Linked DNA regions of Ovis aries. The protein of the gene in region 1 binds, or shares a complex with, the protein of each later gene. Links are inferred from orthologs where the notes say so. Each region holds a gene or a part of one and is shown in the gene's direction. Other genes may lie near its edges. The genes, in order: TMEM237, B9D2, TCTN1, B9D1, CEP290, TMEM17 and TMEM216.

The links.
Region 2: TMEM237 (region 1) and B9D2 share a complex: the UniProt entries of both Homo sapiens proteins name them as parts of the tectonic-like complex. The link is inferred for Ovis aries from reciprocal best matches to the Homo sapiens genes TMEM237 and B9D2.
Region 3: TMEM237 (region 1) and TCTN1 share a complex: the UniProt entries of both Homo sapiens proteins name them as parts of the tectonic-like complex. The link is inferred for Ovis aries from reciprocal best matches to the Homo sapiens genes TMEM237 and TCTN1.
Region 4: TMEM237 (region 1) and B9D1 share a complex: the UniProt entries of both Homo sapiens proteins name them as parts of the tectonic-like complex. The link is inferred for Ovis aries from reciprocal best matches to the Homo sapiens genes TMEM237 and B9D1.
Region 5: TMEM237 (region 1) and CEP290 share a complex: the UniProt entries of both Homo sapiens proteins name them as parts of the tectonic-like complex. The link is inferred for Ovis aries from reciprocal best matches to the Homo sapiens genes TMEM237 and CEP290.
Region 6: TMEM237 (region 1) and TMEM17 share a complex: the UniProt entries of both Homo sapiens proteins name them as parts of the tectonic-like complex. The link is inferred for Ovis aries from reciprocal best matches to the Homo sapiens genes TMEM237 and TMEM17.
Region 7: TMEM237 (region 1) and TMEM216 share a complex: the UniProt entries of both Homo sapiens proteins name them as parts of the tectonic-like complex. The link is inferred for Ovis aries from reciprocal best matches to the Homo sapiens genes TMEM237 and TMEM216.

The regions. Positions count from the first base shown.
Region 1 is NC_056055.1:203,963,049-203,967,183, reverse strand, and holds the start of TMEM237 (transmembrane protein 237), read left to right. Parts: upstream 1-1,335; 5' UTR 1,336-1,463; coding exon 1,464-1,505; intron 1,506-2,155; exon of another isoform or gene 2,156-2,239; coding exon of another isoform or gene 2,240-2,257; intron 2,258-3,711; coding exon 3,712-3,743; intron 3,744-4,135. UniProt on the Homo sapiens protein: Component of the transition zone in primary cilia. Required for ciliogenesis.
Region 2 is NC_056067.1:50,063,066-50,065,727, reverse strand, and holds the end of B9D2 (B9 domain-containing protein 2), read left to right. Parts: intron 1-1,562; coding exon 1,563-1,876; 3' UTR 1,877-2,162; downstream 2,163-2,662. UniProt on the Homo sapiens protein: Component of the tectonic-like complex, a complex localized at the transition zone of primary cilia and acting as a barrier that prevents diffusion of transmembrane proteins between the cilia and plasma membranes.
Region 3 is NC_056070.1:54,531,250-54,534,749, forward strand, and holds part of TCTN1 (tectonic-1), read left to right. Parts: coding exon 1-87; intron 88-2,750; coding exon 2,751-2,913; intron 2,914-3,500. UniProt on the Homo sapiens protein: Component of the tectonic-like complex, a complex localized at the transition zone of primary cilia and acting as a barrier that prevents diffusion of transmembrane proteins between the cilia and plasma membranes.
Region 4 is NC_056064.1:33,860,280-33,864,294, forward strand, and holds the start of B9D1 (B9 domain-containing protein 1), read left to right. Parts: upstream 1-1,215; 5' UTR 1,216-1,235; coding exon 1,236-1,298; intron 1,299-2,648; coding exon 2,649-2,717; intron 2,718-3,466; coding exon 3,467-3,578; intron 3,579-4,015. UniProt on the Homo sapiens protein: Component of the tectonic-like complex, a complex localized at the transition zone of primary cilia and acting as a barrier that prevents diffusion of transmembrane proteins between the cilia and plasma membranes.
Region 5 is NC_056056.1:124,381,201-124,384,700, reverse strand, and holds part of CEP290 (centrosomal protein of 290 kDa), read left to right. Parts: intron 1-652; coding exon 653-817; intron 818-1,805; coding exon 1,806-1,913; intron 1,914-2,626; coding exon 2,627-2,761; intron 2,762-3,500. UniProt on the Homo sapiens protein: Involved in early and late steps in cilia formation. Its association with CCP110 is required for inhibition of primary cilia formation by CCP110.
Region 6 is NC_056056.1:45,739,197-45,742,143, forward strand, and holds the end of TMEM17 (transmembrane protein 17), read left to right. Parts: intron 1-774; coding exon 775-1,053; 3' UTR 1,054-2,447; downstream 2,448-2,947. UniProt on the Homo sapiens protein: Transmembrane component of the tectonic-like complex, a complex localized at the transition zone of primary cilia and acting as a barrier that prevents diffusion of transmembrane proteins between the cilia and plasma membranes.
Region 7 is NC_056074.1:36,444,880-36,449,054, forward strand, and holds the start of TMEM216 (transmembrane protein 216), read left to right. Parts: upstream 1-1,375; 5' UTR 1,376-1,403; coding exon 1,404-1,440; exon of another isoform or gene 1,441-1,454; intron 1,455-2,027; coding exon 2,028-2,129; intron 2,130-2,236; exon of another isoform or gene 2,237-2,255; intron 2,256-2,262; exon of another isoform or gene 2,263-2,424; intron 2,425-2,430; exon of another isoform or gene 2,431-2,566; intron 2,567-2,688; coding exon 2,689-2,781; intron 2,782-4,175. UniProt on the Homo sapiens protein: Part of the tectonic-like complex which is required for tissue-specific ciliogenesis and may regulate ciliary membrane composition.

The DNA.
Region 1 (4,135 bases):
GAAATTTGTATGGTTATGTAGAGTTATCTCTTTGGATTTCAGGGGAAAAAATGTTTTCCTTTACCTTATATGCAGCAATTGGTAGGGAACAATGTTAAGTCACCGAATATGAGGACCTTTCATAGATTTCACGTGGCCTTTGTGTGATTCAGATAAAAAAGAGCTTTCCTAAATAAAATACGTTGTATTTAATTTCAGAAACTGTATTTTACCTTATGAAACTTGTTTTATAACCATGGATTTTTCAAAAAGTACACAGTTTAACTGCAAGAAGGAAGGATTAATATACAAATCACCTCTAACATCAAAACTTACTGAAACAGCACTGTTCTCATTTTACACATTAAGCTACAAGGAAAAATTATTCTTTTGATCAGGGCTGTAGCAATCATTAATTTCCCCAAAAGCCGGTATCTATATTTATGCCTAAATTAGGAAAGAGCAATGAATTTTAGTGCTAAACACCAACGTCTGAGAAACAAGGGGATAAGGATGTTATTCCACGAACTCGAGACTTCCAGTCACTCTTCCTGCCTTTATATATGTTCACCCTCTGGATCACTCCCTTGTTGTTCAGTCACTCAGTCATGTGGACCCCACGGACAGCCAGGTTCCCCTGTCCTTCACTATCTCCTGGAATTTCCTCAAACTCTTGTCCACTGAGCCAGTGATGCCATCCAACCATTACATCCTCTGTGGCCCCCTTCTCCTGCCTTCAGTCTTTCCCAGGGTCTTTTCCAATGAGTCTGCCCCTGTCATCAGGTGGCCAAAGTATTGGAGCTTCCACTTCAGCATCAGTCCTTCCAATGAATTGATTTACTTTAGGACTGACTGGTTTGAGCTCCTTGAAGCCCAAGTGACTTTCAAGAGTCTTCTCCAACATCACAGTTCAAAACCATCAATTCTTTGGTGCTCAGCCTTCTTTTATGGTCCAGCTCTCACATCCATACAGGACTACTGGATCATTCCCTAACTTTTCCCATATCCGTGCCATCCATCTGCTCTTCCTTAACCATTGAGCAAATTGAGTGTATGCTTCAAAATATCTGTAGTTTTTTATTTAAAGTGACCAAGCATTATTTTTCTCAGAAACCCAACCAAACAAAACGAAGAAAACTGTCGTTTTTATTTTTAACACTTATGTGAGCCCAGATTTTATGTCGTGCGTCTTTGGATGGAGGGTAAGCAACTGGAGAAAATCTGAGAATTGCCTGTTTCGACACACACTCATACCCGAACCTAAACATTAAGTCTGGTGGCTAAACGCTTGCGTCTCAACCCTGAAGCCTCGGAACGCGAAGGCTGCCAAAGCGGAGGCGGGCGGAGACGTGGCCCGGGGGCGGCGGCCTAGTCCGGCACTGCAGAGCCACCGCCTCCGCTGGTCCCGAAGGCTGCAGCGTTGCGGGGAACCAGGCTCCCGCAGGCAGCAGTTGCGTCGAGGGAGCCCAGGCGGGCACAGCGCCATGAGGGCCGACTCCAGGCTCGGGGTGGAAGAGGACCATCGGGTGAGCGGTGAGGGGCGTGTCGGCCGCTGCCTTAACGCGGCCGCTACCTCTGGGGTAGGACCGACACCGATCTGCTGGGGACAAGAAGGGGCGAACCCCAGTCTGGAAGCTCGCGCATCCGCCCCTTCGGCGCTCACAGGATAGGGTTTGGGAGCGGGGCCTAGAAGTTCTTCCCAGGGCCGGACCCGAACTCCAAAAGCCTGGCAGAGAGCCAGGCGTGAAGTTTCCGGGGGTCTGAGTGAGGGTGTTGCCATGACGACGCCTAACTCACTCCGACCCCGCCCCTGCGGGTACGGGGGCTGCCAGCGAGGCCCTTTTTATCGACTCCTAGAGAGCATTTTAGCTGCTCAGCAAAGAGATTTGTTTGCCAGCAGGGATTTTTAATCCTGGTCTTCTCTCACTTCTCTCGAACAAATCACTGCAACCACTTGGGAAACCATGGGAAAAATCGTGATTGCTACTCCGCATCCGCTGGAGTCTCCTCTCCCGGGGCTCCGACTCCAACCCCCACTTTCCCGTAAGAGTAGCCCAGAAAAGCCACACAGGGTCTCCATGCCCCGGCTCACTCCCACCCTGCTGCGTCGAGCCTGGGGGTCAGAACGGCCTGTGCGGCGCAGCTTGATGACGCATTGCGCCTGCGCGCGCGGTCCACTAGGCGGGTGTGAACCCCGGAGGGGTGTGAGTTACCCGCGCCCGGGAGCCGGCGGCCGGCGGAGAGCCCAGCTTTAGACGCAATGGGAAAGAAGCAGGTGGTAAGCGAGCCTTAGTTACTTTCAGTTCAGTTGAGCCGTTCTACTTTTGAGGAACGTAGAGGTTGAGTTTTGGATGAACGACACGTCATTTTTGCGGGACTTTTGAAATGAGTTGTCGTCTGAACTGTATCTTTGGTTGGAACACGGTCCATAGCATCTTTAGAACAATACTGTTTGTAGACTGATGGAACAGTACCTATCCTTTGCCAGTTCAGTTTTGGGTACTGGATAGTGCTAAGACAGCCGGCGATGTCTTAGTCTTGTAGCGTTTTTATTAACACACTTTTTGAACGAATGGATAGCTAAATGGGACAGTTGTGGAACAAGCAATGAGTTGTTTAAAATTTAACCCTTCAAAATCAATGTCTTCTGCTAGCAGCTTGAGATACTTGGAATATTAAACTGATTACTAGACAAATTTGTTAGTGTTTTATTTTGAAAGATTCCAGAGTGCTGCTTAACTGTAATTTCTGTGACCTACAAGCACTTCTTAAAAAACGTGTTATTTTATATTGGCCTATAGCCAATTAATGTTCTGAACACTTTTCTTGTTCATGTAAAGTAGGAAATTTATAGTACATTTAGAATTTTTTTCTTTCTGCCCTAAATTGGGTGTTTCACATTGTATTCAGAGTATACTTTTTAAAAGGTTACTATGTTGTGTTCAGTTCAGTTCAGTTCAGTCGCTCAGTCGTGTCCAACTCTTTGCGACCCCATGAATCGCAGCATGCCAGGCCTCCCTATCCATCACCATCTCCCAGAGTTCACCCAGACTCACGTCCATCGAGTCTGTGATGCCATCCAGCCATCTCATCCTGTTAGTAACATTTTAAAAACGTTACTATATAAATGTTAGTATTTTACTCTGTGATTTAAAACCTCCATTGGCTTCCCATTGAATTAAAGCAAAATCTAAGTTCTTTCTGTTGGTCTTCCTAATTAGTTTGCCCATGCCTTGATAACCCTGCTTCACCTTTATTGGCCTTCTTTTATCTGAAACTCTCCAAGTCCAATCTCCAGTAAAAAATTTTGTATTTGCTCCCCTTTGGCTCCTTTCTTATTCAGGTCTCAGTTCAAATACCTCAGAGAGACTTTTCCTAACTAAAGCAGCATTCTTCATTCATATATATATAAATATATATGCTTAATGTTATCTTCTAATATTTAACCATTAGGATGTACTTTGCATAAAGCAAGGATCTCTCAGTTCTGTTTATTAATGAATGTATCCCTAACGCTTAGTGCAGTGCCTGGCCTGAAGATAGGAATATAGGAAGGAAGGAATTTTATGTGAAATTTAGAAGTGATAGAAAAAATTAAAATTGCCCATCTGATTCTCATCTGTATCTCTTGGGTTTCATTTGATGAACAGGTTTATCAAAAATTTGAAATACATGAAGTAAAGATGCTCCTAGGCCTTTACTTACAAGCAGTTTTCTGTCTTTTTCCCATAGCGTCCTCCACGAGCCCTTCCACCTGTGCCAAGGTAAAAATAATTTACAGTAATTTTATTATCTAGTTTAAAAAATGCAAAATGAATAAAGTGAAAAAATTTGACTAGTACCATTGCACAATTATAATAATTCAGAAAAGACTTCCTCAAGTTTAAAGATGAAAAATCCTTGAATCATTAAGATAACAGTTGTAATTAAACATTCTGTTTCAAAGACTGAATGTCCACATATTATCATCTTGGGTCTGTTCTGAATGTTTTAATGACTTGTTGATCAGAATTCTGATCCTCTTTTGTTTGCGAGAATAGTTTCCTCAGAGTTTAAGCTGATTTTAATCAGTGGCAACATAAGAGTTCTTAATCTGTTTAATCCACTTTATTAATAGACAGGGAGTACGTATATGTAGGTTCAGAAAATATTGGGG
Region 2 (2,662 bases), on another chromosome or scaffold:
CAGAACAGGTGATTGACAAGTCAGATTTTGCTTTTAAAAGATCCCTCTGGGGACTTCCCTGGTGGTCCAGGGGTTGAGGATCCATCTTCCAATGCAGGGGAGATAGGTTCTATCCCTGGTCAGGGAACTAAGATCTCACATGCTGTGGGGCAGCTGGGTCCCCGTGACTACTGAGCCTATGGGCTCTGGAGCCCTAGTGCCACAACAGAAATCCCATGTGCCACAACTGAGACCTGACTCAGCCAAACAAATAAATAAACTTGAAAAAAAAAAAAAAGATTGCAGTTAAAAAAAAGATCCCTCTGGCTGTCTCACAGGTGACGGATTGGAAGGTGAGGCAGGCCACAGTCCTTTCAGCTCTTAAGGATCCCAAATATCCTTGCTGTTTCTTTTCTCATTCTATTAGGAAATCCCATTAGCTCCCCCTTTGGAATGCATCCTGAATGTCATCACTCCCCCGACCCCCATCACCTCTCACTAGGCTGTTACCATAGAGTCTTTACTGAGGTGTCCCTCCTGTGAACACCTAAGTCAGGCCACATTCCTCCTCTGCTTAGGACCCTCTGTGGTCCCCACATCACTCAAGGTAAAAGGCAAAGCCTTACCGTGGAAGGACAGGGCCCTGCTTGATCTGGTTCTGTCTCCCCTTCCCCGTCTGCTCCAGCCACATCAGTCCCACCAGGCAGCTCCCACCTTAGGGCCTTTGCACTAGCTGTCCCCTCTGCTGGGAGCACTCTTTCCTAGATAGCCATATAGCCCCCAGTCTCTTCCCTCCTTTAAGCACTGCCTCCGATGTCACCTCAGTAAATTTTTTCTTGATCACCGCCTTCTAAAACTGCATGCCTACCTACTCCCACCCTACCCAGCTTATTTTTCTCCAGAGCAGTTATCACCATCTGACATACCCTATAATTTGCGTATTTACTGTGTTGGTTGTCTAAGATGTCAGCTGCACAAGGGCAGAAATTTTTGTCTGCCCTGTTCACTGCTGTATCCCCAGCTTCTAGAACAGGGCCAAGCTCAGAGAGACTCAAAAAGGAGGGTGAAATGGGGCTGGATCTCCCAAGCACTTTGCCTATAGGGTGAGGAGCTGAACTGTATCTTGAGTGAGGAACTGAGAAATCTATGGAAAGGGGAGAAAGATGCTTCCAGCTGCCAGGTGAAAGATGATGAAGGCAAGAAAGAAGGCCCCGAGGCCAGGAAAGAGGACAGGGTGTGGCCATGGGGAGGGAAGGAAGGAGGCATCCAGGACCAGGCCCACCACCCTCACCTGGGGACTGGGCTCCCCAGATATGTGGACACAGAGGAGAAGGCCAACAGAGAATTCAACAGAGGCCAGACCTCAAGGGTCTAGAATGTTGAGGTTGGACTTTATACTGAGAGCATTAGGGAATCATGGAAGGGTTTTGAGCCGAGGAAGAACCTGGATTCAGAAAGATCCCTTTGGCTGCTCTGTGGTGGTCCAGAGGAGGAGGGTGGGGCAGAAACCTGGCAGGGGGTCTTCAGGAGTAAGAGGCTGGACTGTACCCCTTCACCTTTCCACCCTCCCCCCTATCCTGCAGGCTGGCCCCGGCTCCATCTCCAGGTGTGGTCCCAGGACAGCTTCGGCCGCTGCCAGCTTGCAGGCTATGGCTTTTGCCATGTGCCCAGCAGTCCAGGCACCCACCAGCTGGACTGCCCCACGTGGCGGCCCCTGGGCAGCTGGCGAGAGCAGCTGGCGAGGGCCTTCGTGGGCGGCGGGCCTCAGCTGCTGCATGGAGATGCCATCTACAGTGGGGCTGACCGCTATCGCCTGCACACCACCTCCGGGGGCACTGTGCACCTTGAGCTGAGCCTGCTGCTGCGCCACTTTGATCGGTATGGGGTTGAATGCTGAAGGAGCCTATAAGAATGGCTGGCCCCCAGCCATGTCTTGGGACACCCCATAAGGGGCAGGATGGTGCAGTGGTCAGAAGCATGGGCTTTGGAGACTGTGAGGCCAGACCCAGCCAAGGCTGGTGCAGCTTCTAACCTGACTAGCACCTCAAGCCCAGTGGCTACCCCTCCCAGGTCCAGTTTTCCCATCTGTAAAATGGGCTAGTAGGTGTGTGGGCTCACAGGGGTTGGGTGCAGAGAAGCTGCTGGCACGTGGAAGGGCTCAATAAAGATGTAGTGCTTTTCAAGTGTGGGTGCTTTTTTGACCTTCATCTGTCAGACGTGGGCCGGGGGTGGGGGGATTCCTCCTACTGTTACCCTCCTCAAGCCCCCTTCCCTTGCCCTCTGCCTCAGCGTCTGACCCCCTTCTCCACTCTGGGTGATGCTCTTAAGGGCCCCCACTCGTTGGAGGTTCCCCCCGCCCCGTGCCCCTTTCCCCAGTGGCTCCTTAGTTTCTGGCTGACCCTCTTCCCCTCTGCCCCGGTTTCCCACTCTCCACTCAGGGCAGTCCACCTCGAAGTCCCTGTATCCTGGGTCCCCATTCTCTGAGCCTTCCGCACTACGTAGGTCTTTATGCTCTCGCTGACCCCCGGCCCAGTCCTCAAACCCACAAGCATCACTGCCGCCCGCTTCGGTAGCGCTCGACCGCCAGGAGGCAGCACCCTGTTGGTGGGGCGGAGCCGGGTGTCCGCCCCCTCCCCCCGGGCTTAAGGGACCCCCCTTGGAGCCCGCCCACGCAAGATGCGGA
Region 3 (3,500 bases), on another chromosome or scaffold:
CACAACTGAGCAAGACTGCTTAGCAGTAGAGGGGATCCGGGCCCCGGTATTATTTGGTTACAACATGCAGTCTGGCTGTAAACTCAGGTAAGAGAGTAACTTGCTTCTGTTGGAGCCTATTTTCATTGATAAAAAAACCCACAAAAACATTCTTACTCTTCCCATTGTTTTCCTTGTGTTCTCCCACTGTACCTTTATATATATATATATATAATTTTTATTGGAGTATAGTTGATTTACAATGTTGTGTTAGTTTCAGGTATACAGCAAAGTGAGTCGTTATACATATATCCCATCTTTTTAATTTTCCCATGTAGGTCATTACAGAGTATTGATTAGAATTCCCTGTGCTATACAGTAGGTCCTTGTTAGTTATCTAGCCCTTCTCATTTTAATCAAAACTCTGCATCAGCGGACAACCTCATTAGCATATTATTACTGGGTAGCAGCAATAGTAACAATAATTTATTTTACAATGATGCAGTTTCTGGTTTTCTAATTTTAATTCTCATAACCATAAACTATTTGTCATGATTCAAAGGAAAATTGTTAAAACCCTTTTTGCTTATCAGATATGGCAGAGTAAAAATATCAAGGCTTTGTATGTTTTATCTTTTTATTGTCAAACATAATGTAAAATGTTGAACAGCTCTGTGTGGCTTGTTCTAAAGACAGCACTTCTTAACCTTCATTTTCCCTATCCCAGAATCCCAGAGGCAATCACTTTCAGCTCTTATGGTTGAGTTTTTGAAAATTTGTCCCCAAATTTTTAAATAACCCATATATAATGCTTCTTCATTTTTCTGGTTTTATGACTTTTGTTTTTATTTTTTTATTCAGGTATAAAGTTGATTTATAGTGTTTCAGGTGTAAAGCAAAGTTATTCAGTTATATTCTTTTCAGATTCTTTTCCATTATAGGTTATTATCAGAGAAGGCAATGGCACCCCTAGAAAATCCCATGGATGGTGGAGCCTGGTAGGCTGCAGTCCATGGGGTCACTAAGAGTCAGACACAACTGAGCGACTTCACTTTCACTTTCCACTTTCATGCATTGGAGAAGGCAATGGCAGCCCACTCCAGTGTTCTTGCCTGGAGAATCCCAGGGATGGGGGAGCCTGGTGGGCTGCCGTCAGTGGGGTCGCACAGAGTCAGACATGACTGAAGCAACTTAGCAGCAGCAGCAACAGCAAATCCTTGTTTATTTTCTTATGACTATTAATTTGAGTTCCCACTATGGGAGATGAAGATTTGGCTCTTTCTCTTTTGGTCCCCTACCCCACAAGCGACTTGCTTCCCATCCTTATATCTCCCCAGGGTATCTACATCATTATTTTGGTTAGACCAGAATTCACCATTTACATTATTCTGATCGTGTTAGATTAGCATTTCTGAAAGGAGGTTCTGTGGGGATACATTTCTATAATGTCAGCAGGGGTAAGTCTGTGGTTTAATATTTTGGGAAACACCAAATTAAAGTTCAAAACATGATTCCTTACTAAGTAAGCACTTCTCAGAGTCTTTAGTAATGTCAGTGTACTTCAACGGGGACATGGGTATGTAATATTTCTCAAATGTTTGGCCATGGAACCCTTCTTGTACAGAGCTTCTCCATGGAATATAGTTTGGGAAACTTTGTTTTGGATTCATCTCCCTGGCTAACCAAAATTTCACAAAGTGAGAGACACTTTAACTTCAAATAATCCCCTTTTTGGAGAGTGAGAAAAGAAACTAGAGAGAATATGTGTATTGTTGAGGAATGTAAAAATTAAAAAAAAACACTGCAGGTACAGTATTCTGTAATCAGAGATATTATGGGTACTAACACTGTTCTTGATGAAAGTGATAGAGGAGAGTGAAAAAGTTGGCTTAAAGCTCAACATTCAGAAAACTAAGATCATAGCATCTGGTCCCATCACTGCATGGCAAATAGATGGGGAAACAGTGGAAACAGTGTCAGACTTTATTTTTGGGGGCTCCAAAATCACTGCAGATGGTGACTGCAGCCATGAAAGTAAAGGATGCCTACTCCTTGGAAGGAAAGTTATGACCAACCTAGATAGCATCTTCAAAAGCAGAGATATTACTTTGCCAATAAAGGTCTTCTAGTCAAGGCTATGGTTTTTCCAGTGGTCATGTATGGATGTGAGAGTTGGACTGTGATGAAAGCTGAGCGCCAAAGAATTGATGCTTTTGAACTGTGGTGTTGGAGAAGACTCTTGCGAGTCCCTTGGACTGCAAGGAGATCCAACCAGTCCATCCTAAAGGAGATCAGTCCTGGGTGTTCACTGGAAGGACTGATGCTGAAGCTGAAACTCCAGCACTTTGGCCACTTCATGTGAAGAGTTGACTCATTGGAAAAGACCCTGATGCTGGGAGGGATTGGGGGCAGGAGGAGAAGGGGACGACCGAGGATGAGATGGCTGTATGGCATCACTGACTCGATGGACATGAGTTTGAGTGAACTCTGGGAGTTGGTGATGGACAGGGAGGCCTGGCGTGCTGTGATTCATGAGGTCACAAAGAGTCAGACACGACTGAGCGACTGAACTGAACACTGTAATAAAGTGAGGTATTTGGCAGATGTAACATAAAGATGTCTAATACCTGAGACAGATGCCCTTGTTTCTTATTTTTAGTACTTTTTTGTGCTAGAGAAATGTCATAATTAAACATGACCTTGACATTTATTAAGAAAAAACTGTAGGTTTGAACAATCACCTCATTTGACCTCATTCTTCTTCCCAAAAGACTGACCAAAGCTCTCACGTGTCAGCTGGTGGCGCAGAAGATGAAGAGCCTCCTAAAGGGTCAGGGCTTCCCAGACTATGTGGCCCCTTTTGGAAATTCCCAGGCCCAGGATGTGCTGGACTGGGTGCCCGTCTATTTCATCACCCAGACGTCACATGTGAAGGTAAAGGGGGAGAAGCTGAAGGCCACTTGCTAGTGGTCTCCAGTGTGCACCTGCCCCTCTCACTGTGGGGAGACAGAGGCAGGGGGTACCTGTTAAGAGGGTGAGTGGCTGTGGGTGGGAGTTTGGACTTTGTTATCAGATGGGCCTGGATCTTGAATACTGATTTTGCCCCTAGTTAGCAGTGATTTAGCCAGCGATCTTACCGGTTTGAGCCTCTTTTTCCTCATAGCTGTATTACTGCCCTCAGGGCTTGTTGAGAGTTAAAATCGGGTAATATTAATGGTGCCTAGTGGTCTCTCTATAAATGGGGACCACTACCAGTCACCATCCTGTCCCTTGTTGGTGTTATGCAAGGTTTCTCTAGGTATCATGATATGATAGGTGAAGTGGACTGTTTCAGCAAGACTTCCTCCCATCTGCAGAGCTGTCCTATCCATTGTTCCCTGGTCTATAAAAGCACTCCACCCATGAGAGCTTTCAATTCTAAAGTTCCCAGAAGAGTTTAATGGAAATTGACATCCTACAAATAGGTTCCAGATCACATGTGGTTCTCCTGCCCACCTTTTTCTTTTGTCTCAGCAGTCAGA
Region 4 (4,015 bases), on another chromosome or scaffold:
CTTCAGCATCATTCCTTCCAGGAATATTCAGGACTGATTTCCTTTAGGATGGACTAGTTGGATCTCTTTGTTGTCCGAGGCACTCTCAAGAGTCTTTTCCAACACCATACTTCAAAAGCATCAATTCTTTAGCACTCAGCCTTCTTTATGATCCAACTCTCACATCCTCCATACATGACTACTGGAAAAACCATAGCTTTGATAATGAGCAACGGAGACGTATTCACACTCCAGTACTCTTGCCTGGAAAATCCCATGGACGGGGTAGCCTGGTAGGCTGCAGTCCATGGGGTCGCTACCAGTCAGACACGATTGAGCGACTTCACTTTCACTTTTCACTTTCATGCATTGGAGAAGGAAATGGCAACCCACTCCAGTGTTCTTGCCTGGAGAATCCCAGGGACGGGGGAGCCTGATGGGCTGCCGTCTATGGGGTCGCACAGAGTCGGACACGACTGAAGCGACTTAGCAGAGTTGGCAGCTAGTACAGCAGACGTACTCAATTATCCATCCACTCCACTAGCTGCCACCAGTGCTCAGGCAACCGGGACACGGGGGTGGCCCAGACCCGGTGTTCGTGGCGTAGGGCTCAGGGGAGAGGCGGCACTGGCTGGAGCTATCACAGTAATCGATGTGCAAAAGCGAACAGTGGGGAGCGCTGAGAGCAGGCGGACGGCCGAGCCCCGCGGGCTCGCCCCTCCCCGCCGGCAAGGTGCCGGGGCGGCCACTCAGAGGCCCGTTTTCCCGCGTCACGCGGAGACCTGCAGTCTTGGGCTTAAGGACCTTCCAGGTCCCTTCTCGGTTGGTCTAATAAACTTTTGGGAGGCGAGGGTCTCAAAGGCACGAGGGAGCATCTGTAGACCCGAGGCAGGGAGCTGCTGGCCCCACGGGGACTCTCGGAAGCGCGGCCGGACCCCGCCCCTTGGCGGCCTCGGGCTCCAGTCACACACTCCAACCGGCAGCGCGGTGGTCAGAGCGGACACACATTCCCGGGCGGTGGCCTAGGTCCCGCACCACCAGCTACATTCACGCGGGGTTCCTCGGGCGGACCGCCCCTCAGACGGACCAGGCGGCTGAGGCCCGCCTCCCACCGCACAGCGCCGCTCCGACTGCGCTTGCGCGCCGCGCCTTGTGCGCGTTTTCCCGAAGCTCCCGCTTCCATGAAACTTGTCCCGTGCGCCACGCCGTCGTCTCCAGGGCAACCCGGCGCCTCCTAGTAACCGCGCGGCCCGGCTATGGCGGCCGCGGGCCCCAGCGTGTTCCTGCTCATGGTCAACGGGCAGGTGGAGAGCGCCCAGGTGAGCGGCCGTGAGTCCTCCAGGGTCGAACCTCGGGGGAGGGAGCTAGCGTGACAGGCTTGGCGAGAGATCGCGCGGACCCTCCGCCACGAAGTGCGGTGGGGAAAAAGGCCTGGAGCGTTGAGCCAGGCCGAGGCCACAGTTGGCCGAGCCCACGTGAAGATTCGGGCAGGGGCCTCCATCCACCCCGCGACCCTCAGCTCCTCCCTCCGGCGCGGGTTGGTCTGACACAGCGATGGTGGCAGCTGTCCTGACCCGGAGGCTGTGTCTGTCCGACGGAAGGGGACAGTGCTTTCCAGTCCCCTGCATGTCCTAAGAACCGTTTGTTACTACTGGAAGACATGACATATGACAGTCTTCATGCCCAGCCCCGCTCAGCCAGTCCTCACAACAACCATTTGAAGTAGGTATTACTTGCACCCCCATTTTACAGATGGGAAGTTGCCCAAAGGAAGTGGCAAAACGAATTTCAAACCTTGTCTGATGTCAAAGCTTTGCTGGACTTGCCTTTCCAGGCTGTTTTAAAAATATTATGATTATATTGTGAGTACTAACCAAGGTGGTCTAGGTAAAGCTCCGTGGGATCTCTTAGCGGGCATCTCCCGCCTTCCTGTTTCATCAGGGTCACTGCCCCATGCCCCCACCCTGTCCACCTCCCCTTGGCCTGGTGCCTAAGGCCAGCCTCTCCTGTTCTGCTTTATCCCAGCAGGGGCCTCAGCTGGGCTGGGTCAGTGTGCCTGTGTTCTCAGCAGCCCCTCATCCCCACTCTTCCTCCCCTCTGCTCGAGGCCACTCTGCAGGCCATTGGCTCCCACCAAGCTTTGTGTCCTGGGAGCACCTGTCTTCTAGACCTTTCACTTCAGCATCACTCCTTAGTGCCCACCCTGTGCCAGGTGCTAGGGACACAGAAAGCCCACATACCTGTCCCTTGTTCACAGTCTAATGGAGCTGAGAGAATAAACATGGTCAGTGCTGTGATGGAGCACCAGGGGCTGTGGAAGCTGGGATGTGGCTCCAACAACCTGGAAGTCGGCAGGCTCCCCAAAGTGTCAGTTTTGAAGGGTGAGCAGGAGTACTCCCAGTGAAGGCATTCCTTCACTTCTCATTAGAAGGGCACGTCATACAGATGTCAGAGCCTGAGCAAAAGCCTGGGGGCAGCACTGTCCCTGGACTATCCCACATCTTGAGACCAGACCTTCCAATGAACTCCGTATCCATGCACCCTGCTCTCTCAGCCCCCGCCCCCTAGGTGCCTCATGTTCAGAGTTGCTGGTGGCTGTACCTGCCTAGCTAACAGGTGGTCACAGCATGAGTCCCTGTGAGCAGAAGCTGTGTGTGCTTATTTCCACAGTTTCCTGAGTACGACGACCTCTACTGCAAGTACTGTTTCGTGTATGGCCAGGACTGGGCCCCCACAGCGGTAAGCTGGACCCTACAGCCTCCCAGACTCACAGCTTTTGTGACTGAAGGGGTTTCTGAAGGCTCCATTGCACCCTTTCCCCTCCCAATTCAGAACCAGTTAAGAGTTCAGGGGTGGCACACACGTGAGTTTGTTCCCAGTGAGGCCGGAGCAGAGAATGCAGAGATCCCTGATCCACCCCTAAGACTGTGGTCGCTCCTGGGCCCTGCCCTGCAGCGAACAAAGCCAGACCAGCCCAGCTCTGCTGGGGCCACTTGCCTGAGAGGGAGACAGACTCACGCTCCAGGCTGTTGGCTAGTAGCGGTGCTGAGGGGAAAGTGAAGGCAGGAAGGGGAGGGATGAAGAGGCCAGAAAAGGCCTCCTTAAGACAGTTTAAAAAAAAAAAAAAAAAGATGGTAACTGAGCGTAGAGCTGAAGGAAGCAGGGGGATGGGCCAAGTAGAAGGCTGTAGAATAAACTAGCCAGGCAGAAAGACAGGGGAGAGGGCAACAGCCTGCTGGACCATACCCTATTCCGCAGGAGGTGCAGGTGGAGCTTGGGCACCGGGAGAGGGGAGGGGCCTCAAGGTTTCAGGTCCTAATGGATAGAAACCCTCAAAGACCTGGGAGCCACTCTGTCACATCTTAGGTCCCTTTGTTTGGCAGAAGATGGTGATGAAAACAGCTCTCAGCTGCCACCTCAGAGGTAGGGTGGGTGGGCATGGCAGCCTGGAGCTGGGACACTGGCCGTCACTGTCATTGTCCTTGCAGGGGCTGGAGGAGGGCATCTCACAGATCACCTCCAAGAGCCAAGATGCGAGGCGGGCGCTGGTGTGGAACTTCCCCATCGATGTCACCTTTAAGAGCACCAACCCTTACGGCTGTGAGTCTGCAGGCCTCGTCCTGCCCATCCATGGGGCCCTCTACCAGCCTTGTCAGGTGCTATCAGACACCTGGCTGTTTTCCCCTCCTTCCCACTGTGTGCACTTGACCTTTCCGAGGTTCTGAGGAAGTCGGTGAAGCCCAGCGTGAAACCTTGGGCAGTGACTGCCTGCGAAGGTCAGAGCCTGGTGTCTGGGGCTCAGCAGTCTGGCCCCTCAACAGCTCTCCCCCGTCCATCACCACTGTGCTCCCGCCAGTCCCGACCCCCCTGCTCCTCCTCCAACACCCTGCCCTGAGCCAGGGGTAGGCCCTTCTCTCTGCCATGGGCACCGAGCCCTCATCCTACCTCTGATCTCCCAAAGTTCTCCTTGCCAATATCTGCAGGGTTTGTTGTCCACTGTACCTGGTCGTCTGTGATCACTCTCACTTAATGAATGT
Region 5 (3,500 bases), on another chromosome or scaffold:
GATATAATTTATTAATTTAGATTTTATAAATTAGGAGTTTGAGCTATTAGAATATCTGTTTATAAATAAAATGAGACTCCTCTAAGCCATAGTTTCAGTAGAAATGCTTAGATTGTAGTATCAAAGAATTTTAAACACTCTAGGAAAGTATATATTAATTAAATACTAACTAATTATTCTTAAACATTATAGTGATTAAACAAGTAGTAGGCCTACATTTATTTTTTAATGTAATTTTGTTTTTACTCTTATTTGGAAGGAATTAATGAAAAATAATTATTTTGAAATTAAATTTTATTCTCTAGGCTAGAAACATTTGGGATTTTTATTTATGAAAGTAAAACCAATGTTGCAATTACATACAAACACTAAGGACCCAACAAATACATGAAAGTAAATGAATAAATAAATGTGATTGTTAGTGATATCCATTTCAGCATCTTTTGAAAAATGCTTTATGTTAGGAGTCTACATATTAAAAAAGTCTATAGAAATTCTAAATAAACTTTTCTTTTTGGTACAACCAAGAATAATTTTATATCTTATTTTAGAATGTCCATTAATTTGAATTGAAATCATTAAAATCAGTAGAGAAATTCATTATTTATTAATATAGTATTAACATTTGTATATGTAATTTATAAATATTTAGGTAATCAGTTGGCACACAAAAATAGAAGAACTCCGTCTTCAAGAGCTTAAACTCAATCGAGAATTAGTCAAAGATAAAGAAGAAATAAAATATTTGAATAATATAATTTCTGAATATGAGAACACAATCCGTAGTCTGGAGGAAGAAATTGTGCAACAGAATAAGGTTTCATTTTATATTTATTTTGGTGTTTTGTTGCTAAGATTTTTAATATAACAACATTGCATTGATGACTGCCTTATTTTCCTAATCAAGTATAGCTTCTATTATCATTCTTATAAAATATTGTTTCTTATTTTTTAAACTATTCTAAAAATACATTATTCATTTATTTAGTTGCATTAGTTGTCTTAAAAGGAAGAATTCATAAACAAGTTTATTTGTTAAGTTAATTTTTGTTTCACTATTGGTTATTTGAATTCACCTTTACAAGTTTCTACTGCTGTCACTGAAGGAATAAGGCAGCTTGGTATAGAATAAAGAACAGAAGCTTTGGAGACAGATGCAGTTCACTAAGCAGATGCTTACTTGCCTTAGAAATTTTGTTGTTCCTTCTGCTTAAATTGTTCTTACCTAAGATACCAGTATTACTTCTGCTTTCACTGCCTTCTGATCTTACCTCTAATGTATTACCTTATCAATGAGACCTTCACTAGTTACCCAACACACAACAGTAAATTTTATCATCAAGATTCCTTAAATACGGATTACCTAGTTTCATTTTACTCCATAGCACTCATCGCCCTCGGACATATGACATACTTATTTGTTTACTATCTCCCCCTCAGTAGTATATAACTCCTGTGGTGAAGGGGACTTGGTTTTGTTTATTGCTGTGTTCTCATTGTCTCAAATAGTACTTGCCACATAGACTGTGTCATTAAACATGCTTTGGATGAATGAATGGATGGATGGATAAATGGATGGGTACATGGATGGGTTGAAATCCTGACTCCACACCTGCCTGTCCTTGTGATCTTAGGCAAAAATTACTTAATCTCTGAATTTTCTTCCTTTTTCCTTAAAATGAAAATAATAACAGTGACCTCAAATGGTTGTTGTGAGGATTAAAGAAGAAAAATGTATGTAAAAGTTCTTCTCATAGGCCTGGTGAGTGTCTCTGTGTGTGCATGACCCAACTATCCTTCTTTAGTTTCATGAAGAAAGACAGATGGCCTGGGATCAGAGAGAAGTTGAGCTGGAACGTCAACTAGATGTTTTTGACCGTCAGCAAAATGAAATACTAAGTGAAGCGCAAAAGGTATAAATGATTAATCCTATTTGCTACTCTATAGCAGGACCTATAATGTTAACCAGTAGAAATGTTTTCTAAGGTTGGATGGAATTTTATTTTTATTTTTCTGTTTTTTTTTTAATTGGAGGATAATTGCTTTACAGTGTTGCATTAGTCTCTGGTACACAACAGTGTGAGGCAGCTATCTGTATACATACGTCCCCTCCCTCCTAAGCCTCCCTCCCAGTCGCCACATCCTACCCCTCGAGGTTGTCACAGAGTACTGAGGTCAGCTCCCTGTGCCATACAGTAGTTTACCAGCATCTATCTATTTTACATGCGGTAGTATTTATACTCTTTCAATTCGTTCCACCCTCTCCTTCCCCTGCTGTGTCCACAGGTTCGTCCTCTACATCTGTGTCTCTATTCCTGACCTGCAGATAGGTTCATCAGTACCATTTTTCTAGCTTCCATGTATATGTGTTAATATACGATATGTGTTTTTCTCTTTCTGGCTTACTTCACTGTATGACAGACTGTAGGGGTCATCCACATGACTACAAATGACCCAATTTTCTTCTTTTTTATGGCTGAGTTGGAATTTTAATTGATGATATCTTTTTATGTGTCAACTATAAGTGAAATTTAACCATGTCTTGTCATATAGTTGTAAAAATTAATATTGTTATTTCCAATGTTGCAACTGCTCTTCTTTAAAAAAAAAATCTATTTCTCAATAGTTTGAAGAGGCTACAGGATCAATGCCAGACCCTAGTTTGCCCATTCCAAATCAACTTGAGATTGCTCTAAGAAAAATTAAGGAAAATATCAGAATAATCCTAGAAACCCAAGCAACTTGCAGATCACTGGAAGAGGTAATTAGAAGAATTTGCATATTGTTGTTGTTCAGTTGGCAAGTCTGACCCTGTCTGACTCTTTGTGACCTCATGGACTGTAGCATGCCAGGCTTCCTGGCCCCTCACCATCTCCTAGAGTTTGCTCAAGTTCATGTCCATTTCATTGGTGATGTCATCCAACCATCTTATCCTCTGTTGCCCTCTTCTCCTTGCATTTTGATAAGTATATTATTGGGTATACTTCTGGAATTTTATAAGTAATATTTTTAAATGAGGATGAAGCATAAAATGATGAATCTGTTGCTTATTCTACTCTACTTTTCTTTAGTCTTTGTTTTGCCAATAAAGAACAGTAGGTATGGCTAATTTGAAATCACTCTTCTTTTAGTCATTACTTATCACTTTTGGGCACACTCATCAGTTGCTAGCATGAAAGGAAACCAAAAGAGCATTTGACTGTAGCTTTATGAGCAATGTGTTTCCCTCCCTTCAATGATCAAGAATTGTTTTCATCCTTGTTTATTTTTATATTTTATTTTGAAGCATATGTTCTAAACTCTGGATCAATTTTTAGTTTACTTCTTTTCGTGGGTGGTTAAAGGGCTTGAAGGTAAACTAGGAGTTGTTTCTTAGTTTAATCTAGGTCTTAAATTTGGTTAATAGATGGTCAGATCTCTCTTTATTAAATTATACAGAAAATAGTATAAACTGAATATATTTAGATGTCAACTAAAATGAAAATCATATTACTATAAAT
Region 6 (2,947 bases), on another chromosome or scaffold:
AGTGATAATGCCTAAAGATTTCAGTGTTCTTCCAGGCCCTTCATAATTAAGCCCCACCCAGCCTATCCCACTGTATTTTGTGCTTTTTCCTAACACAGACATCCATTCCAGGCTGATGTGTTGTTTCCCAGTCATATTCTTTCCACATTTTTGCTTATTTAAGTTCTTGCCTTTTCCTCATTCTGCTGCTGCTACTGCTGCTAAGTCACTTCAGTCGTGTCCAGCTCTGTGCAGCCCCATAGGTGGCAGCCCACCAGGCTCCCCTGTCCCTGGGATTCTCCAGGCAAGAACACTAGAGTGGGTTGCCATTTCCTTCTCCAATGCATGAAAGTGAAGTCGCTCAGTCATGTCCGACCCTCAGTGACCCCATGGACTTCAGCCTTCCAGGCTCCTCTGTCCGTGGAGTTTTCCAGGCAAGAGAACTGGAGTGGGGTGCCATTGCCTTCTCCGCTTCCTCATTCTATCTAACTTTAAAAGCCTACCTCCTTGAATTATTTCTTTTACCTACCCTGTTTACTCTGTTAGAGCATTTAGTCTATTACTCTAAGTGGTACGTACGTTTCATTATTCACTTAAGTGTAGTAATGTAGGACTGTCACATAAGGTAGTTTCCTCTTTCAGTCTAGACTGTAAGTTCCCTGAGGATAAGGACCACACTATACTTATTTTGAATTACAGAGCTCAAAATGTAGGTTCACAGTAGTATCACTTGCTTCAGCACAAGCAGAAGATGGTACTTCACTGGTCTGATGTTTGTCGTGTGTATCATTGCAGGTTCCTGAGTTGGCTGGCTTCTGGCTTCTGAGCCTTCTGTTGCAGTTGCCTTTAATTCTTTTCTTGCTCTTCAATGAGGGCCTAACAAATCTGCCCTTGGAGAAAGCAGTACATATCATCTTCACTATATTCCTTACTTTCCAAGTTGTTTCAGCATTTCTTACCTTGAGGAAAATGGTAAATCAGCTGGCAACTCGTTTCCACCTCCAAGACTTTGACCGGCTGTCTGCGAGCCGAGGAGACATGAGAAGAGTGAGGTCCTGTATAGAAGAGATTTGACCCAGTGCTGTTGAATAAGCATCTGGAGGATCATTCTAGAAGACTGCAGGAAAACACCAGAGGGCTAACACAATAAAAGGGACAAAGCAAGTGTTTTGAACTGTATCCTCCCTGGCTCTGAAATTCCAAGGCTGGACACAATGATAAGACTGTACAGCACGTGAAAGCAGTAAATCAACCCTAAAGCCTGCATGTTGTCTACCTGATGTCAAATATCTTAAATTTTTTGTTGTTGTCAATGTTTTCAGGTGTGTAGAGATCTATATTGGTGGCGTTACATCTTTACTGTAATATCTCCAGTTAGTACCTGTAACTAGAAATGTGTATATTTCTTTCACTATTGTTGGCCTATCCATGTCTTGGCAGTACGTATGAAGTATGTGGAGATGCTGGTCAGTATTCTGATGTATTAGACTACATTTGTAAACAGACACCAAATTTTCATGTCTGCTAGGGTCTTAGCTATTATACTGAGGTTAAGAAGAAAGCAGGTAGATTGTGATGATATTTAGGAAATGTTTTTATCCTAAAATTGTTATTTTCATACAGCCATGTTCAGTATTTATGGTGGTGGTGTGCAAAATGTCTTCACAATAAGTTATAAAATATTTATGTTGAGCTATCTTTAGAAATCATTCTTGTCTTTTACAGTTCTTTTGGGCTGTGGGTTTATTTTTATTATAAAGTTAAAAGAGAAAAGTACATGTATTTGAGAGCCTTCTATGTAATTTGCCACTGTCCTGGGTACATTAACCCTTATGATCTTATCTATTAAGTCATTATTCACTGAAGAACTGCTCATACCCAGTAAATTCACATGAAGATTGATCTGATAATCAGGGTGCCTGTTAATATATAGAGTTTGGATGGCCCAAAGGACTCATGATCATAAATGAGCATATTCCCTTGCTAATAGGAGAAACCTATTTAAGGAAATTCTGTTAAGAACAAAGCTTGCTTGGGTATATCTGAACCATTAATTTTAAGTGATAATTGGGTTGTCTTAAGAGATACAATATTTTCTTTCCTAAAGTATTGTATTTTATTGAGAGATAGTTGTAGCTACATTAAAAATCATTTTTTCTATCCTTCCTGTTTTGTGATTCATGCTTATCTTAGGATTTCCACATTATGCCTTATTCATTTTTATGTTGCTTAATTTTGAAAATGTTTTCACTTCCCACTGTTAATCACACCTTACTATTCTGTTTATGCTCTTTTTATTATTTCTGCTTTTTATTATTATATATAATGTTCAGTCAAAGTTTTCTTCCCCTGTACACTAACTAATTAACCTTTGCCCTATACCAAAGCTGTCACTAGGTATATTCCAATACTTTGAAATTCAAAATAGAATTCTGTTTGAATAGTTTAATAAAATGTATTTGTTCACATTTTTTTCCAGATAGATGAGTTTATAAGAAAATATAAAATAAGAACACTAAATCTACATAACAGATAAATTAAGGTGATGATCAAGAAAGACTTTTCTATTTAACAATCATTTCCAGAGTTTTATTTTAAATAGCAGAGCCTCTTGATACATTTAAACTTTAAGGTAAATCACTAAAAGTATAAAGAATAACAATAAAAAAAGTTTAATGGTTAAATGGGGGAATATATGTTTATAAAAATTTTAAAAGTTTTTGTTCTAATAATTATTGCTTAAAATGTAGATATAATGAGGGTAAGAAAAAAGAAACTAAGAAAATCAATTGAGAACATGATCAAGTCATTGGTTTTTCATAAAACAATAGAACCATGATTTTGTGTTAGTCTGAACCAACATTTTCTATTTGGTGTATATACATGGTGCTCTATGTATGCATAGGAAAATTGAGATAGGAAAGACATTTCCATGTCAGCACATTTGGAGTTTAGGCAATCTGTATTT
Region 7 (4,175 bases), on another chromosome or scaffold:
GGGGGGGGGGGAGCCTGGTGGGCTGCCGTCTATGGGGTCGCACAGAGTGGGACATGACTGAAGCGACTTAGCAGCAGCAGCAGCAGAGGGACGGGGAGAAAAGAGTTACTGTTAAATGGTTACAGAGTTTCTCATTGCCATGATGAAAAAAGCTTTGAAAATGGTGGTGATGGTTACCCAACATTGTGAATATAATTAATGCCACTGAATTGTACACTTGAGTCACTCTACTCAAATTACCTGGTTTGAGTGTGCCATGTTTTCTGTCCTATCCTGACAGTGGCTGACAGTCAAGTCAGCCTCAGTCCAATCAAAACTCTTCTTTCTGCTTCCCTGTGGGCCGTAACACATGCTAACTGCTCCAAACCATAATCAGGTTTCAAAGCCCAGTTCACCAGTCATCTCTTGAAAACTTCTCTCAGTTCCCACCTAGAGTACTTTGTCTTCCCAACTCCCATGCAAGTCAGGGGTCACGTGGTGATCATGTTTCATCTTCCCGGTCTTCTTTATGCTCCTCGAGAGGATCCTCTGCCTGCCTGCTCAGTCGCTCAGTGAAGTCTCTGCAATCCCAGGGTTGTCTAGCCCGCCAGGCTCCTCTGTCCATGAGATTTCCCAGGCAAGAATACTGGAGTGGGTTGCCAAAGGAGCCTCTAGTTCTGATTAATTCTGGTGTCTTCTAAGTACCTGTTTGATAAATCGGACGCACTAAATCCCCTATTACCCTCCCAGAAAAGACTGCTTGCTAGACAAAAGACCCCAAACGCCAAACCGCATTTGCAGAGCACTTTTGTGCATTATCAGACCGTTGTTTGGGATTCCCTCGTGGCTCAGATGATAAAGAGCCTGCCCTCAATGCCGGAGGTCTGAGTTCGATCCCTGGGTCCTGAAGATCCCCTGGAGAAGGAAATGGCAATCCACTCCAGTATTCTTGCCTGGAAAATCCCATGGACTGAGGAGCTTGGCAGCTATATGCAGTCGATAGGATCACAAAGAGTCGGACACGACTGAGCGACTACACTTTCACTGTTCTTTTTTCGTGTATTGTCAGACCGTTAGTGAAGAGAATCGTGGCGCTACAGCCTATTTGGCAATCCTGTGGTCACATTACCACTACTGGCTACTTCTGCAGATTCATTGTAAACTTTGGGTGGGGAAGCCCAACAGCTGCTCCCAGCCCTAGGGGCCTACGGACTCCAGCTCGGGGGGTGGCCCCTGTGCTGTCGAAGGTCTCCAGACAGAACCCCAGTGAAGGCCATTTGCGCGCACCGGCGGACGCACCAAGACGGCCTTCGCACCAGGCAACCATAGAGTGTGATGGGCGGGCAGAGAGGCCAGAGTCTCGGGCCGCTCTGTCCCCCGCTTCCGGCAACGCCTCGTTGCTCCAGAAGTAGAGGTAGCCGCGTATGCAGTTTCCATGGGGACTGGAGATGGCGCCGCGAGGTGAGATTACGGAGGTGTGTGAGTCGCTGGTCCTGATCGCTTCTATATTCCATTCCTTTCTCTCCCATTGCTCGACTTTTATAAACCCTCTATTCTCGGGTGTTATGGACATCACTTCTCGCTTGTCCAAAGCAGGGTCTAGCAGCTTCACCCTCCCTGAGTTCCTGAAGGTCTCGAGGTGCGGGTCTTAGATTCCCTCAAATTCTTGGCCAGGTCTGTTCTAGGCCAGCTCAGTTACAAATTTGCAGTGTGACTTCAAACAAGCCAGTGCTGGCCTCTGCACCCCATTTTCCCTTCCCAAATAGTGACGAGGTTAGATCTTAAAGGGGCTTTGACTTTCGCGCCCGAAGCCCGGAGTCAAGTTTAGGGGACACTCTACACACAGAGAGAAACCCTACACACACAGACACCCTACACACACACTCTCTCTCTTTTTCTCTCTCCTCATCAGCAATCAGAAGTGCCCCAAGTAGCCCTTTCCATTAGCTGCGACCTCACTTTTCCTTCGTTAGACACAAAACCATTGAAATAACTGAGGTTGAGCTGCCCTCCAGCCCATCTCTTTTTCTCTGTGCTCACATTTTCAGGTAAACGATTGTCCTCCACCCCGCTGGAAATTCTTTTCTTTCTGAATGGGTGGTATTATGCTACCTATTTCCTGCTGGAACTCTTCATATTTCTGTATAAAGGTAAGGCCTGGGGATTGACTACCCTTGCCCACATCCCTTCCCCACTTCAGGGCAGAGCCAACTCCCACCAAAAACCTTCCTATTTTTCATTCTTTTCTGCCCTCTAGGGAACCTCTTCACTGTAAGGTAGAAGTCTCTTCATCAGCTGACTTCTTGAGAATGATTTAGTAGGAAGCTCCTGGGCAAGAGTTTGTTGAGTTTGGGAAATGTGGGATTCTTCATTCCAACTCTCCCCCATCACCTCTTGCTGAACTCCACTTTCAGCCTGTTGATGAGCCTCGGAAGCTATTCAGCGGTCTGTGTACCCATGTACAGCTGATAATGGTGGAGGGTGGAGTCCTCATAGACTGTCCGAGTTATGAGTAAAACCCGATAACAACATGCCTGCCTCTAAAAGAGATGCAGCCACAACAAGGAGTTAACACATCCTGCATCAGGTTAACAGATGCTGCCCACACCTCACTAAGTAGCTCATGGACAGCTGATGAGACTCGCGCGTGTGGGGCTCTCCTGCGCACTGCTCTGTGTTGTTTTCAGGCTCTGACTTCTGTGTTGGCAGGTCTCCTGCTCCCGTACCCAACAGCCAATCTAGTCCTGGATGTGGCGATGCTCTTCCTGTATCTCGGAATTGAAATAATCCGACTATTTTTTGGTGAGTGTTTGTCCAAGAATATTTCCATTCTTTCTGAGATGAGCTGGTATCCGTAACCTGATCAACAAGGAAAAGTACATAACCTAGGCTCACCAATCAAGAGATTGGATCTGGTGGTATATCCCATTACTCCCTCTCTGAAGTTTCAAGCTGCTTCATATTTTGGGTCAAGATGTATCTGTCTGTTGCCCGGCAGGGCCAGAAGTGGGCAGTGGCATGATATTAGACAATTTCTTCCCAGTTGTCTAACTGTTACAAGAGTGCCTTGTTCCTCTCACTGGTTTGCTTGGGAGAATAGATTCAGCTGTAACTCCATGTCTGGGGCAGGAGATGCCTGCACAGGTCAGCACTAAGATCCCCTTCATTTTTCTGAACAAGGATTTCTCTAGGACAAGTTTTGTATTCCTGGAAGTACAGAGCAAGCCCTTTTTAGTTAGAATATGTCATCCCTGAAAATGTTCTTTAAACACACTGAAGAAAAAAAACATACTTTAAGTACATATCACAGTGGATAAAGAAAGCTCACATAAAATGCTAAGAAAAAAGCTAGTTTTAAAAATGAGCAAGGGAGGGAATTCCCTGGCTGTCCAGTGGTTAAGATTTCAAGCTTCCAACTCAGGGGGTAGGGGTTTGATCTGTGGTTGGGGAACTAAGATTCTGCATGCTGCACAGCGAAAAAAAAAAAAATTAGCAAGCGACCCTAATGGGCAGTTCACATAAGAATAATTACAAAGGACCAGTAACCATGATAAAATGCTCAAACTCACGAACAAAAAGCAAACTGGAAAAACACGGTAACATATTCACCCATCGGATTAAAAAGATTCCCAAATGCCCCGTATTCAAATAACCGCAAGAAACAGTATGTATGGTCTCACACTCATGTGAGTATTTATATTCCCACACCCCTGGGAATAGAAATTAGTATAACCTTTTTTGCTAATGGTTTTACCAGGTAAAATGTATATTCTTAGACATTAACAATTTCCCTTCTAAAACTGGCTGAAAAAAACACACTTCTACAGATACACAAGTATATCTGTATGAGGATGTATTGCCATGTATTTTTTGACATCAAAACCTTAGAAACAACCTAACACCTATCAATACAGGACTAGTTAAATTATGATATTGGTTCAATGAATTGTTCATAGCCATTAAAAAAGGTAGTTAGGTGTGGAAAGAGTTACGATAGAGTAAAAGGTAGTTAATGTGGAAAGACGTCTAACCATGTTAAATGGTTAAATAAGTTGCCAAACGGTATGCAGAGTATGATTCTACTTTTACAATAATGAAAATAATAACACGTGACTATACACATAAAAAATGTCTGAAACAGTATGCCTCATTCTGTAATAATGGCTTTCTCTAGAGGGTGAATCATGAGGTCTTTT